Linked DNA regions of Callithrix jacchus. The protein of the gene in region 2 purifies or fractionates together with the protein of the main gene of each other region. This does not show direct contact. Links are inferred from orthologs where the notes say so. Each region holds a gene or a part of one and is shown on either strand. Other genes may lie near its edges.

Region 1 (7,777 bases), on a different chromosome or scaffold from region 2:
AAGACTTTTGCTATTATTTGCACTGTTAATGTCTTTTTCCCCCACTTCAGCTGTCAAATTCTGAAAGAGGGTATATTAAAAATATAATAATGGAGGGTGATTTTATTTTTTTAGAGACAAGGTTCTGTCAGGCTGACGTGCAGTGGCACAAGCATAGCTCACTACAGCCTCAAACTCCTGGAATAAAGCAATCCTCCTGCCTGAGTCTCTCAAGTAGCTGGGACTACAGATACATGTCACCACACCTGGATAATCTGTAAATATTTTGTAAAGATTGGGTATCACTATGTTGCTCAGGCTGGTCTCAAACTCCTGGGCTCAAGTAATCCTCCTGCCTCAGCCTCCCAAAGTTCTGGGATTACAGGGATGAGCCACTGTGCCCAGTCTTAGAGGATAATTTAAAAACCTCTTAACTCTGCAAGTTTTAGCTTTATGTCTAGTCCACTAGAAAATGTGATTTTTTTTGTCTTGTTTATTGCTTTGAGTCTAGAGTTCAGCTTAATTTGATGGTTAAAAACTCATGCTTTCTGTATTTGCCTAGTATTTTTTAAAAAATGAAGTATTTTATCCTTACAAAAGAAAATGCAACATTGATAAGAGTTATAAAGCATAATATAGTGAACATCCACTAGGGGAGAAACAAGTATGTTACATTTCTATCATGGTTCCAACATCTGAATCTGTAAAATGGGCAAGATTCACTGGATCAGTGAGAAACTAAGACTCAAAAAAGGGTAAGTAACTAAGATAATAAAGCTAGCTAGTAGTAAAATGAGTTTCTGAGGGGCAAAATCCATCTTCTGAAGTCCTCTGCTGCTTTTAAAACTTTATCACATTTATCAGATTTCCTCTTTGGTACACAATTGTTAATACACTTGTCAATCTTGCCTCAAAGAATGATTCACCTTCCTTTTGGGGCCCTGGGTCAGTTGGGTTATCTGGACTTTATTAAAATGGAGCACTCATTTACTCAATGGTTTGTCTTACCCACTCACTGACAGAATATGAAGGCCACATTAAAATTAATGAGTCATGTGAAGAGTAATGATGGGGGGGGTGTTTCTCATATTAGGTATAAAAAGTAGATGATATACAAATAGCTACACTAACAAGCTAGTGCCTCAGATGTTCTAAGTTTGAGTGAGATATCTGCATTTCAAAGGTACACTGTATGTTGAATCACCATTGCCCTATTGATATACAATTTAAAAGTTAATAGTAAAGACACAGGAAAAATTAGGCAAGAGGGGAAATAACTTAGCCACCAAGAATTTGGTGTATGTATGCCCGAAACCCAGTGTTTGATATCCTACTGCCTGGAATTCAAAGTACTTGGCTTTCCTCTCTTCCTCCTCCCTGGCAGTCCAGGGACCTCTACTCCAGGGACCTCAACTTTAACTATTTTCCTAGGTCTATTCTGGGCAGAGACTACCAGAAGAGAAACTGTAACTAGGATGACTTACATTATTCTTATGGATACTGACCTCCAATAGTCTGACATGGGGACATAGAGTGTCCCCATGTCACCACTCTAGGATGCGAATATTAAACAGAGTGGGAAACAAATGCTAGTCTTTACAAGCATTGAGGGTGGGACAGGGTCTCATTTTCCTGTTAGAAACCAATGACATTTATGTCCACCTAACTGGTTCAAACTCAAAATGGTATGTACTTTCATGCAAGATGGAAAGGAAGTAATGGCTTCCAAGACAGAACAGCAAATATTTTTATCTTTGAAAGCAAGAGCCTTAGTAACAAAAATCAAAGTTCCACAATTTTTGATCTTGAAAAAGCCTTTCAAAAGATCTAATACAGAATTTCCAAAAATCAGTAGGACTTGCAAGATGCTCTGTGGACAAAAGGTTTTGTGACCAAATAGATTTGGGAACTGTCACAGGTAATACTATTCCCCTTCCAGATTTCCAAAGCATGGAGCATATTAAAGGCTCTGAGAAGTTCTGCCATAAAGATACACTTTAACCATGTGTTTCCTTTAAAGGAGGAAACTAGAGAGGAAGTGACATATTGAGGTCACACAGAGTACCACACCTGTCAAAGGAAAGATCAATGGGCAATGGCAACATCAGTTTTAGGGAGAATGTGAGTCCAACTAAGAAGTTCTTAAAGGACAATGTATTTAAAAATGTAATTCTCCAACCATAAGCAGAGTTATGTTGAATAAGCCCCTTAACCAATGTCCACTGCAAAATGGAATAAACTTAGGGGTTCACAATTCTTAACAATTCTTTAAGCATGTTTTTAAAATTGTGAACCCCAAAGTGACAAAACCTGAGACCATTTCCCTTCATTCACAGAGGAAATCAGAAGCACACAAGACATACTTTTCAGAAGTCAGTGATGACAGGTTGTCCACCTGGCCTCCAGCCAAGATGATATTCATATCACTGAAAGTGCTGACTACTTGCTGCAGAAAATTATTGGCTCCCACCTTACAGCAATTATAACCAAAGACAAGGACCACACGAAGTTCAGGGTTATCTAAAAGACCTGCAGAGAAACAAGGGCAACAGTTAAAGACAGCCATAAAACAGAAATTATTCTATACATGTTACAAAATGAAATGTTACTGTTAATGACTTGCACTCCCTGGTAAGGGCAATTTAGTGGCTTAAGCTATCAAGTTTTCCATTTTTTTACATTTTTAAAATCTTATTTTATATCTTCTTTGATCTTGTCACGTTTTCCATTCTTTACAAACATTATGCAAAATCTTAATTACAATTTTTTTCTATTAAAAAAACTAAATGGCTATTTGGACTAAGAAATAATACAATCAACACAAATAACAAAGCAGCTATGTACTGAGCAGCAACCCTCGGTGGACCAAGGTGCAAGCTGCCTCCTGGTTAGGAACAAAAGGAAACACTGGTTTACACAGAGCTGGGGTAGCAGTGAGAATTTAAAGACTTTTTTTTAAAGGAGAGAAAAGGTGCTAACCACCTATAGTGTGGTGAATAGTGCCCCCTGCCCCTCCAAAAGGTATATCCACATCAAATCTCTGAAACCTAGACATGTAGGCTTATTTGGAAAAAGAATTTTTGCAGATGTAATTAAGGATATTTTTAATTTTTTTGTAGAGATGGGGTCTCACTATGTTACTCAGTAAGGATATTGCAATGAAATCATCTGGCTTATCCAGATGGGCCCTAAATCGAGTGACAGTGTCCTCATAATGAAAGATTAACAATGGAGAGACAGAGAAGAAAAGGCAGTGTGACCACAGAGGCAGAAACTGAAGCTGTGAAGAAACAAAAAAAAACAGACTCTCCCCTAGAGCCTTCCGAGGTAGCACTACCCCTACTGCCATCTCAATTTCAGACTTCTGGCCTCCTGAACTGTGCAGAATAAATTTCTGGTTTTAGGCCACCAAATTTGGGGAACTTTGTTACAGCAGCCTCAGGAAACTACTATATCACTGAAATACAGGCTTTATTCACTTCCTCCAGGGAAGCCAGTGAATTAGCCTTTAAAAGTTCCTTCCAAAGCAGGAAAATGTTCAATTCTGTGACAAGGACTAAAAGCTGCTACCACCAGGAGGAGGCAGAGTGTAACAGAGACAGCCTACTCGCTCTGGCCTCAGCTCCCAGGTTTCACAGGAGCCTCTGGCAGCTTATTTACAGACTATCGATTTGATTTTTTTTTTTTAAGTTCAGGGATACATGTACATGTGATTTGTTACATAGGGAAATGTGTGTCATGGGGTTTGTTGTGCAAATTATTTCATCACCCAGGTAATAAGCCCAGTATCCATTAGTTGTTTTTCTTGATCCTCTCCCTCCTCCCACCCTCCACCCTCTGGTAGGCCCCAGTATCTGTTGTGCTCCTCTTTGTGTCCATGTATTTTCATCATTTAGCTCCCACTATAAGTGAGAACATGCAGTCTTTGGTTTTCTGTCTCTGTGTAGGTTTGCTAATGATAATGGCCTCCAGCTCCATTCGTGTCCCTGCAAAAGACATGTTCTCATTCTTTTTTTTATGGCTTCACAGTATTCCATGGCATATATGTACCATTTTTCTTTGTCCAGTTTATCACTGATGGGCATTCAGGTTGATTCCATGTCTTTGCTATTGTGAATAGTGTTGCAATGAACATACATGTGCATGTGTCTTTATAACAGAATAATTTATATTCCTTTGAGTATATACCCAGTAATGGGACTGCTGGGTCGAATGGTATTTCTGTCTTTAGGTCTTTGAGAAATCACCACACTGTCTTCCACGATGGTTAAACTAATTTATACTTCCACCAACAGTGTTTAAGCATTTCTTTTTCTCCACAAACTAGCCAGCATCTGTTATTTTTTTACTTTTTACTAGCCATTCTAACTAGTGTGGGATGGAATTGCATTGTGGTTTTGATTTGCATTTCTCTAATGATCAGTGATGTAGAGCTTTTTTTCATCATTGTCGGCCACATGTATGTCTTCTGCCAGCATTACCAAACAGAGGTGCTTTGGGGACAGGAAAATGAATCCAATACCTAACACACTGCTTCCATTTAATTTGACCACATGACTTCTACCTTGACAGACCTAAGGCAGTTACATTAAGGAAACAAAGGGTATGCAGATTCATGAATGACCAACTGCTAACACCAAACAATGACCTATTCTGGGAAACTGCCTCTGGTCTATTTCCAATTCTCTACACAATAAATTACTGATTTGGACAGTAAAAAGAGTATTACTTTCATGACATCATATACCCCAAACCATTACTAAAGGATCTTTCTTCTCTTATAGACTACCCCACGAAATTTTGAGAGAATATATTTTCTTCTTTAGAACAAATTTTCAGACTTAGAAGAGGCCTGTGAGATCAACAGTCCAGTTTTATTTTACAAACAATGACGACCAATGACAGAGAACTCACTACCCCAGGACAATATAATGACAGACTCTACATTAAAACCCACACACATCTCCTGACACTGAGGGATTTAGGTTTTAGAAACCTTATGACTTCTAGATCTCAACCTTTCCTACTGTTTTCTAAGCTCTAGATGCTCTTTTACAATTGTCTACTCAACATCTTATCTGAATATTCTAAAGGCACCACTCCCATTCATTTAACAAACACGTACCCAAAGTAAAGGAGAATAAAAAAAATCTCGGGACCTCCAAACTCCTTATGCCAAAGGGAAAGTTAAGCCTAGAGGCTGAGTCAAGTGAAGCCCCATCCTCACCCCAAATTAACAGCTGCTACTTCACAACCCTGTGTTGTTGCATTCTACATTAGCCAGACTTACCCCACACACACTCCCACCACCCCGCCAGGAAATGCAAAAGGCTTTAGGCATTGCCAGATGAGTGTTTCCACAAGTCATTCATAAGGAAAATCTCTGCTGGCCTCAAACCTTTAAATACATCCTCCCATAAAACAAGGACATGTCAATTGTAACTTTAGGACTGCAATCTGTTCAACTCCACACTGATAACATTCATTACAAGCTTATCTTCCCAGATGCTGCACAAAAACAAGATGAGATCAGTAATTCATCCACCTACTCTGAGACGCACAACTGGTTCTTCCTTTCTTCAAAAGGTTTACCTTATCCTCTGTAAAATATAAATTTACTGGACTAAAATCTCACAGGAATGTAACCATTCACCTTGGGCCTATCCTTCCCCTTCCTTCTTTCCCTCCTTTAGAAACATGTATTGAAAACCTCTTCAGAGTACATGGCCACTCATTTGTGACTAGTGTTTTCCCTGGATAAACCCTCAACCTCCGGCTCAGTAAACCTCGAATGATTTAGATTTTTGCCTCAGTCACACATTTTGTTTAAAACCATCTTCTCCAGTGGGTTTACTCTCAGTGAAAGAACATTTCCCCCTCCCCACAAACCCCAGAAAGTGGAATCACTTTCCCCTACCCCAATTTAGTGAACAAACCCACCTTAGCCAAGACTGGCTGCCTGATAGAGCGGATGGCTCTGCATTTAACCCACAGACTAGCTGGTGCTACCAGAAGATAACAGAGGGAAGGTACAACTCCAACTCCTTGCCACTCAAAATTTAAAGGCCTAAGATAGGAGGGAAGAGAAAGGAGCAGTGCCAATTTTTCCTGAAAGGTTCTGGGTTCCCTCCAATTCATAGGTAAAGGGTCATCAAGGACCCAGTGTTCTGGGCCACCTGCCATTGCATCTGACTACAGATTTTATTCTAGAATTTTCCAAAAGTTGATACATTAGCAGGGACGCACCACAACTATTAAAAAACAATTCCAGGACAGTATTTATAATGCACTTCATAAAGTGTAACCTCCTGGTGAACCTTCCAAGATGATAAACTGGTTACAAAATGTAACCTCAGTTAACAGAATAGATTGACCTGCCATGTAGGAATGGTAACTAGTATTCAAGTTAACTACTGCAGGTGTCTACCAAGAGATGTCTTTAGTTTTGGAATAGTATGAAACTGTTCTTTCCAGTAATAATCCTGTTAGGTACATTTAGCAAAGAATTACCAGAATTACTAGGAATTTTTCATCCACCAAGCCCCCACTCTCCTCCCTGGCTATAAATCCCCACCTGTGGTTGGCGCATCTGGAGTTGAGCCTGATCTCCCTCCCCAGTGCAAAACCCCGTCACAGTGGTCTCTTTAAAAGGTGTCAGCATCGCTTTTTCTTTAACACTACCTTCCTGCCACTTCTGCTTTCCCAGGGGCTGGGCAACTTTCAAGCAGAACAAGTTCAATCCCTTGAGCTTCAGTACTAATTCTCTCTGCTTCACATCTGGTATTGCCATGACCCCTCAAGATTCTCTATGAGGTCTGCAGGTAACTTTAAAACTTTGTCCTTCTTCAGATTTTTTTGGAATCTGACTTAAGTCATGAAAGTTCCATTTTTAACCCTCTTGGTGGCTGGCAGAATTCAAGAGGAGTAATTAAAGGATCAAAAAGCAGGGAGCAGAAAGAACCTGAACAATCAAGTACATCACCAGACTACCAATCTCATAACAAATACTTTAGTACAGAGCGCTGTTCTAAGTACATTATAGAAATTAACTTATTTAATGCCTGTAACAACGTGTTATGTACTGTTTTACTCCTAAAGAATCTGTGTGAGGATTTGATACTTTCAAAATGCATTAGTCAATGTATAATACAGCTGCACTAGCCACAAACCCATATGACACCACTGCCACCTCCCTCATTCTCAACACCCAACATCTCATCAGTCACCAACCACATCCTGTCCATTCAGCCCCAAACTTCATCTTGAATCCAACCTCTTCTCTTCAACTCCTCACCACTGCCCTGCTCCAAGCTGCCATCTCCTCTTTCCTCAGCCACAATACCCTGTTTCTCCTGCATCTACTTTTTTAAAAAAGTATTTTAACTGAAAAATATTAAAGGCATATATTTCTCATGTACAACATGGTGTTCTGAAATATATATACACTATTGAATGGCTAAATTAAGCTAGTCCTGCATCCACTCTTGTACTCTAAAATGATCACCACACCATAGTAAGAGTGGTATTTTCAAAAGATCTATCAAATTTTGCCACTCCTGTGTTTAGAAACCTGCTTCCTGCTGCACTTCCCTCAAATACTTTTGATCTGTGGTCAGCTGAATCCATGAATGCAGAACCCACGGATATGGAAGGCCAACTATACCTAAAATTAGGACACAAGATAGCAAATGAAAGAATGGAGATGGCCATTTTAAGCTGGGAAAAGCTTCAATTTCCAGAAGAAAATGATGCCTTTGAATAAGCCAAAACCGCTGACATCAAGCAGCTCAGGAAAGGA
Region 2 (8,420 bases):
CATGATTTGGATTAAATAAGGTTTACTTTAAAAATTATCACTGTCAGCATAGGTAATATTTATTTAGGATTTAACTTACAACAACCTTATATGAGATACTATTATTATTAATTTATTTATTTTTTGAGACAGAGTCTCATTCTGTCACCTAGGCTGGAGTGCAGTGGTGCAATCTTAGCTCACTGCAACCTTTGCCTCCTGGGTTCAAATGATTCTCTTGCCTCAGCCTCCTGAGTAGCTGGGATTATAGGCATGCCACCACACCAGGCTAATTTTTGTATATTTTGTAGAGACAGGGTTTCACTTTGTTGGCCAGGCTGGTCTCAAACTCCTGATCCCAAGTGATCCACCTGCCTTGGCCTCCCAAAGTGCTGGGATTACAGGTGTGAGCCACTACACATGGCTGAGCTATTATTATTATAATCCCCATGTCACCGATGAAGAACCTGAGGCACAAAGAGGTTAACTTGCTCAAAGTTCCCCAGATAACAAGTAGCGGTGCCAGGAAAGAAACTCTGGCAGTTTCAAGTTCCCTCCCTGCCACTTCCCAGCCAGCTACTTTTGATTCAGTAGATCTGGAATGGGGCCCTTGGAATTAGAAGTTAAGTCCCCGGGTGATTCTGAAGCAAAACCAGGTTTGAGAACCATCCTGTTAATTCACTTTGCACTGGATGGCTAGTTACTTACCTGTGTCTTAGAAATAATCGTTCATATAGTTAGTCAAGTAACACCATACCCTTTCATTTCAGTAGTAAGCAAATTTGCTCGGAATCCGCTTCAGCGTTCTTCAGGCACAGTGCTGAGGGGGCAGATGAACATTACGAAATTGTCTCTGACCCCACAGCACAGACCACCTAGTTTAAAGGCACATGTGAGAAGGCAATCAGGGAGAGGTCACAAAGCTTGAGTAGAAGGTGTAAGGTGGCGGGCTTCCTGGGAGGGGGGTGTGAGCTGGATCTTGAAAAGTGAGCATGAAAAAAAAAAAAAAAGAAAAGTGAGCATGATTTGGAGTTGGAGGAGAGAAGGGGGAACAGTACCTGTTAGAGGAACAACTGAATGGCATTGAGAGTTCCTTTTGGGAAGTAGCAGGAAATAAATTTGGAAAAGCAAGTTAGGACAAGATATGGTAAACCTTAAGTGCCAGGTCCAAATTTGGATTGAACCCTACACACAATATGGAACTACTGAAGTTTGGAAGGACAAAATTATAATGATGAAGGTATCAATTTACAAGGAATAATCTGCCATCAGTCATGACACAAGCGGAAGGATAAAGAAGAGGTAAGAACCAGGAAGAGCATTTAGAAGGTTAAAGAACCAACAAAAGTGTGGGAGAATATCTTAGTAAAGGAGTGGATATATACAGAAGTGAGTCACCGGGTCACATTATGCACTGATCAGGCTGAGCGATTTCACGCAAATTGCCTAACATCTCTGAGCCTTAAGTTTTTTTTAAATGAAAAATGGGTATGATGATAATGACTGACTCAAAACAGGCAAAGGATTTCTCTAGGATGGTGACAGCTCTGGGATACAAGGTGAATGGGCCAGGATTTTGAGTTTGTTTCCAGGTCTGCATGAATTAAAGAATGTGCTATGAATGGCAACAGGCACATTCACTTTGTGGAAGATGAGGGGGGACTAATGGCTGGTGAATGTTCCACGAATTATGAAGAAATTACTCTTTACACTCTTATGATGTAGGTATTTTTATCCCAAATTAACAGTTGACTTAACTAGAGCAAAAATTAGTAATTTGAGTTACTGGATATGACTCAAATTTGAGTAACTGAATATAAACCAAAGCCCACTAAAATCTAAAACTTGGGCTTTTCCAACTAGTACATCATATTGTCGAGTTGAAAGTTGTATTTTATGTCACTGCTTTTGGCCTAATGTTCTAGTCTGTTCAGACTATTTTGAATTTTGATTCTGACATCCATCAAATTAATTATCCCTCCAAACTTTGGGTCATCTGAGAGGGACATCGATTTTGCTGAGCTGGGGGAGAAAGATGGAGGAAGGAGGTTTTAAAGTAGAAAGGGAGCAGCAGGTGGCCTTGACCTGTTAGGCAGGAGGCAAGGTTATCTGCCCAAAGTAAATGCAAATCTGGTTGTTAAGTGGACATAAAAGTCAATGGAATAAATTTGCTGCTAAGAATGATCGTGTAGGCAGGTGAGGGTAAAGAATAGAAAGGAGTTAAGAACCAGGAATCTCGGAGGCAGTGAGAAGAGGGAGGGTGGTGTAGGTGAACCAAATACTCCTATTAAGAAAAAACAGAGGGCAAAGGAAACATACAATAAAGGGAAGGCTGACCCACTCAGCCTTTCTATTAGCTGGAGGAAGTCACAGAATAGGAGGCCAAGAATATTTCCCACCCCAACACCCTGCACAAATGAAAGGATTATGACATACCTAAGTGACAAATGCATTACTATTACAGATACTTAGATGTAGACAAAATACATTTTTTTTTTTGAGACAGTCTTGCCCTGTTGCCCAGGCTGGAGTGCAATGGCATGATCTCGGCTCACTGCAACCTCTGCCTCCCAGGTTTAAGCAATTCTCCTGCCTCAGCCTCCCAAATAGCTGGGACTACAGGTGTCTGCCACCACACCTGGCTAATTTTTTTTATCTTTAGTAGAAACTGGGGGGGGGGGTCACCATGTTGGCCAGGCTGGTCTCGAACTCCTGACCTACGTGATTCGCCCACCTTGGCCTCCCAAAGTGCCGGGATTACAGGCATGAGCCACCGCGCCCGGCCAAGACATTTCGATAGAGGGGATCACATAGACCAGTGGGATGTTTCTTCTGAGACAAACCCATGTTATGCAGTAAACTGTGGACTCTGGGGACAGCCCTCTGCTCTGACTGAGGCCTTCTGTCCCGAGTGGTACTGGAATCTGTGTAGCATTTTAGTTTGGAGGAAACAAAATTACACTCATCACATCTTTTGCCCAGATGACAGAATTCGAAATCCCCCGGGGGTTGTTCGTGGAATGAGCCGCTCGGTGACGTTGTGAGCCGTGCTATTAATCAGCCATCCCTCACTAGGTGCGGGGGGGCCACCACGCTTCCTCCAGCCCGTCACCATAGCAGCAGGTGGCTATTTGTGCTGCCAAAATTAGTATTTAGTGTGAATATTCCAAATAGCCAATTATGACAGTTAATTTCAAATGAGATGACTTCGAACTACACGTGAAAATACTATTTTACATCATGCCTCATGCCATCCCTATATGTAATCAAAGCCTTCTAGTTTTGATTTGTCCTTCCAAAGACCAAGGGTAGAGTAAATGTCAAAATCTGCCAAACAGCAGTTAGTGAAAGAGTCTGAAGAGGGAAAGCCTAGTTAGGTTTGACCTTAGAAGTGATTTTTAAAAAGAGACACATAGATAAAATGTGTCTGGAGCCAAATCCTAAGGCCTGCAGGTGTTAAGGGGGGGGTCGAGAATCAGCTGCACGTTCCTTGGAAGTCCGCGCCGATTCTGGGAGGCACCTGGCCACCTCTGACTTTCTGATCTGTGGTGCATCCCCCAGTCCCGGTCGACAAAAGTGGGGAGTCGAGTTCCAGGCCAGCGGGGGACGGGGGTTGTGCGCACAGGGGAGGGGCAGGAGGACTGCGAGCCCCTCTCCTTTGGGGTGCTTCGGGCCCTTTCTTCAGAGGCTGGTGGTGTCCCCGACCCAAGCAGCTCATTCTCGCTGGCGAGGTCCGAAGTGGCGGGAACGGGTCCTCCGCGGCGGCCCCAAGGCGAGGGAGGCTGTAAAACCTGGCGGAGGATCCAGCGCGCCGGGTCGGGGATGGCTCGGGTGTCAGGGGGCAGGGGCCGTGGGCTCGCAGGTAAAGAGCCCCACGTGAGCGGGGGCCACGGCCACAGAAGGGGCGCCCCCGGGGCGGCGGGCGGGCGGGAGCTTTCCGGGCCCCTCCCGCGTCTCGGGCTGGCGGGGCGATGGCGACGACGGTTTCCCGGCTCCCCCGCCCCGGACGCCGATGGCGGTGCGTTCCGGCCCTCCCCCAACAGCTTCTCCCCCGCGGTCGCCGGAGCCGGTGAGGCCGGGAGGGCGGGGAGCCGTGGAGAGAAGGCGAGAGGGCGGAGGTTGCGTGGTGCAGGCGGCGGCGGCGGCGGCGGGAGGAGGAGGGCCGGGCGGGCAGGGGAGGAGGAGGAGGCGGGCTCCGTGTCGCACGCAGCTCCAGGCGGGGCAGCCCGGGTGGCTGAGGGACGCAGCCAGACCTTGGCGGGACGGGGCTTTCGCCGGGGCCCAGGCCCAGCGACCAGGCGGAGGCGTCGCGGGAGCCTTTTGGGCACTACGGAGATGCGGGTGAGTGTCGGCCGCCGCAGGGCCGAAAGGAGGTGGTGGCGGCGGCGCAGGCCCGGCCCCGAGCCGCGGTGTCGCAGTGACTCGGGCCGCGGTTGCCGAGCCCAGGCGCCGGGCGAGGCCTGAGCCGCCGAAACGCGGCCGGGCAGAATGGCGGCCGGGCCCGGGGGCTCGTGGGCGGAGGACGCCGGGGGCGGCAGGGGAGCGAGCGGGGCTGGGCCCTGAGTCACCCCGGACGGGCCGGGGCGGCCAGGCCCGGACTACGCACTGGGAAAAAGCCCGATTCATCGCGCCCAGAGGCGGCGGCCTGGTGGCGCCGGCCCCTTTCCCCGTCGGGACCGGGCTGGGTCCGCGGAGGCTGGGCCGGCGTATGGCCCCGGGCGACTTGGGCGTTCGCGCCTCGCCTCGTGAGGCGATCTCCGCGGGACACCGGGACCCCATGCCCTTGCCCCTTCTCGCCCTCACGACCACGCTTCTCCTCGGCGCCGCTTTCCGGCCGACGCGTGCCCTCCTGTGAGCCCCGGGCTCGCGCGCGCAACCAGCCGCCAAGCCGGGCTCTCTCGCTTTCCGGTTCCCTGCCCGCGGCTCTCGGGTTCCGCGCCTGCATTATTGCGACCGTGCAGGACGCTATTATTGGCTAACAGCCGTCCTTTTGCCCAGTTGTCCTCGGGGAGCGGGCTGGGCTGGCGCTCAGAGATGGGAGCCCGGCGGCAAAACCGAACGGAGCCCCACGGCGCCCGCCTAGCGCTCGCGAGTCTGGCCGGGCCCTGCGCCGCGGCCTCGGCGCGCCCCCGGCCCCAACGGGAGCGCGCGCCATGACCCTGGAGGTAACCGGGCGAGCGCAAGCTGCGGGGACTTGGGGTCCCCAGGCTCGGGGTTCGTGCGATTTTTGCCCCAAGATCTGAAAGACCCCTGTTTCTGCCACCGGTGCAATATTGTGTAGCGCAGACGTAAGATAATTAAGAAAGAGAGGAATGCTTGTAGACACTGCTTGAAATGAATCCCCAAAGTTAAGGTTTTCTGCCTGGCTGGCTTTGCCAAAAAGAGGATTCTCTTTTCCGACTGGGTCACTCTCGGTTGCTTCTGGTTCGTAGTAGGCGTTCGTGGTAAGTGCACAAATGCTGAATTGCAGTCTTCTTAAATATTTATTTGCTCAGTGTAATTGCTCTTTCCTGTAGTAGCATTAAAATCGTCAAAAGTTCTGAGTGGAGTAAACGATCACACTTTTTGGAATAATCTTAACGAAGCGGCAGAAGAGAAACTAGATTCCTTTTTTACTTCAAGCCAGGAGCTTCTAGGACCTAACGCCTCGCGGAAGTGTGTGCAGTTTTAAGTTTAACACTTCATTTCATGGTGCACCCGAAAATGTACCCAGTTTTTTGAAATCCTGGAGAGTGGATTATGTAGTAAAATATGTAATGACATTTAAAATGTAAAACCAGTCATTTTGTTTGAAAACAATATTTGGCGATGAGATTTTTCTTTGTTTAAAGGAGGTTTTTGGATATTGGAAAATGTTTTACTTCGAGGTTCTATTTGTTGTTTTCCATGGTGAGTCGAAATAGTTGCATTGCATTTCAAATTCCAAAGCATGCAAACACAAGACTGGCTCGCTTTAACTCTATTATGCCCATTTTTGGAGGTTTCAGGAGAGTGTTCCTTAAGCTTGAGAGGGATGGCTGAATTGCTTTCTAAATATGTTAAACTTCTTTCCTCATTGGCTTCATCTTTTAAAAACTGTTTTGTCAGACAACAAACCAACTTTAAATATGCTAGGGTTTTTCACCAATTTGTAAAAGCTTCCTTCCTTGAGAGCCACATGCTCAGGTCCTTCCCCACCCCCCACTCCCAATGTGTGTACCACATCAGAAGACAGACACGCATGCCTGAGCTGATTCTGCATGGTTTCCTTAGATATTATAGTTCATTAGACTCTTGCCACTTACTGAATGTTATCTTCTAGCTGTAATTAACTACAATACAGCCTTATTTCCCATACATTTCCGATTCTGAATTCCTTCAGCGCAGGGGATATTCCCTGTTTATTTTTGCGTCTCCAGAGTAACAACTTGGTTATGGTGGTGCCTCAATTGCTTATTTTTGAATGAGTGAGTTTTCTGGAATAATTCTAACTTAGTGTTTGAAAACATGCCCTGATTGTTGGCTGCAGAAAACACAGTCGTTGCACTTAAGCCGGTTAAGAATGCAAGCTTTATTATACACTTAAGTAAAATCGATTCTCTCATCTCTCCTTTGCCACTCTCCCTTCCCATTTCTCCACTTCGCACCTCCCCACAGCCCCCCAGTATCTAGTACAGGGCCCCAACAGAAAAATGCCCAGGTTTTCTATACCTGTGAAGTCCAGGAAAGTGCCAAGAGAGAACAAGTTGTGAAACTTTAGCTTTCTTTCCCATTAAAACTAGTTTTAAGATGCGGAATTTTTTTTTACTTTTTTTGGAAACACAATCAAACGCGATCAGGATCAGGTCCTCCCACCCCCGGTTGAGTATCCAGCTTTGCCTTTGAAATGAAGCAGTTTGGTAGTTGAGGCGTCTCCTTGTTGGAAAGGTGAGGCCAGCCCCTTGGTTCTGCTGAAGTGGGATAGGAAGTTGCTGTGGGAGGAACCATCCCTGGGTCACTGAGGCCCTTTCATCAGAATATCATTCCTAGTATACCCAGAGGCATTGTGTCTGTCTTTCAGCATGGAAAATTAAAATGAATGTACTTTAAATTGAGGAGTTGTTACTTGCCATTCTTCAAATTAAAAACATTAGGACCATAAGAACTTATGAAGGTGTTTTGGTTTGTTTTGTTTTGCTGTTTCAGCCCTTTGTAGGTCCCAAAGCCATGACCTTGAGTCACTCTGGAATAAAGTGTCTTTGGGGGACTGTCAGGTTCATTTTGAACTTGTTTTAGGTATGTCTGGAGAAAAGAGTTAACCATTTGAAGGGCCAATTCTAAGTTTGTCTTGCTTTTTAAAAATATCTGGGAGTTTATCCGTGTGTTTGCTTTGCAAATGAAGAAATGAACATTAAATGGGAAGTAGATCCAATTTGGGTAAAAGTCTTGTGTTTGCCGAGGACATAATTTCCTCTTTATAGAAGTTTCTTGTTTATAAAATGAACATTGAGTAAGCACACTATAAACAGGATGATAACATTTAATGACTTAAGTTTTTTATTCATGCATGGAGGTATTTCACTTCTAAAAATTCTGTGATGGAGAGATGTAGTCATTTATTTTTGCTTAGGTATAGAGCGTCTTGATTTGGGAGAGAGGACTTGAGTCTAGTTAAAGCTTACCTTTGCAGGGCCAGTATTTGCTCATTTGTGAAATGAGATGGTTTTTTAATTGACATTGTTGATTTCCTTAGGCCCTCAAAGTATGTGGATTCCATGGGAATGCCACAGCTTTGAACATTAACAGCATTTTGGGAAAAACGGTCTCAAAGAACATCAAGTATTGTATTCATGTTTGAAAAGCAGGGTTGTGAAGCCTAAGTTTGATGTATATTTTTTCCCTTGGGAAACATGGACCAAGTAAGCACTGTTCTGCCCTTCCTAGTGTTCCCTGCACGCTTCAGTGCTGTTGCAGTTCCATTCAAGATGTGACTCTTTGCCTTTTCTTTCACTGACGGCTCAGGGAGCCTTCCCTGGGTTCCCGTGGTGTCCTGCCTGTGTCACTATCACAATATTTAACCTTTTGATTGTACTTGGTGGTTTCTCCCACCAAACTGCCCTCCTTTGGGACAGGGAGGCTGTGATAGCATCTGTCCCCAGTGACTAGCGTACTGCATGCGTCAACATTCACGTACAGCCTTCCACTGGAAATCCTTACAGTGCCCACTGAAGTGTAGTCACTATGGTTTAACCCACTTTACAGAATACAGGTGAAGGAGCTGAGACTTTGAGCGGTGAAGGTCAGGGCTAGGAAGGTGGTTAAGCCTGGCTAACTCCAGAGCTCAAGCTTTTAACCAAATGTTCCCTGAGGGTTTGACTGGTTTATAAAAGGTGGAAGAAGACTAGAAGAGACTAAAATGAAAAGCTTTAAAGACTGATATCTGATCATTATGGCAGAATTCATTATGCAGAACTGTGATCTGC

The links. The genes of interacting proteins can lie anywhere in the genome.
Region 1: the proteins of CUL1 (region 2) and FBXO22 purify together in Homo sapiens (affinity purification with mass spectrometry; 11 studies listed by BioGRID and IntAct, with this or other methods). This does not show direct contact. The link is inferred for Callithrix jacchus from reciprocal best matches to the Homo sapiens genes CUL1 and FBXO22.

Annotation. Positions count from the first base shown.
Region 1 is NC_133509.1:25,071,056-25,078,832, forward strand, and holds part of FBXO22 (F-box only protein 22), read right to left. Parts: intron 2,509-7,777; coding exon 2,343-2,508; intron 1-2,342. UniProt on the Homo sapiens protein: Substrate-recognition component of the SCF (SKP1-CUL1-F-box protein)-type E3 ubiquitin ligase complex that is implicated in the control of various cellular processes such as cell cycle control, transcriptional regulation, DNA damage repair, and apoptosis.
Region 2 is NC_133512.1:99,020,547-99,028,966, reverse strand, and holds the start of CUL1 (cullin-1), read left to right. Parts: upstream 1-3,662; 5' UTR 3,663-3,841; intron 3,842-3,929; exon of another isoform or gene 3,930-4,048; intron 4,049-4,193; exon of another isoform or gene 4,194-4,320; intron 4,321-4,975; exon of another isoform or gene 4,976-5,423; intron 5,424-8,420. UniProt on the Homo sapiens protein: Core component of multiple cullin-RING-based SCF (SKP1-CUL1-F-box protein) E3 ubiquitin-protein ligase complexes, which mediate the ubiquitination of proteins involved in cell cycle progression, signal transduction and transcription.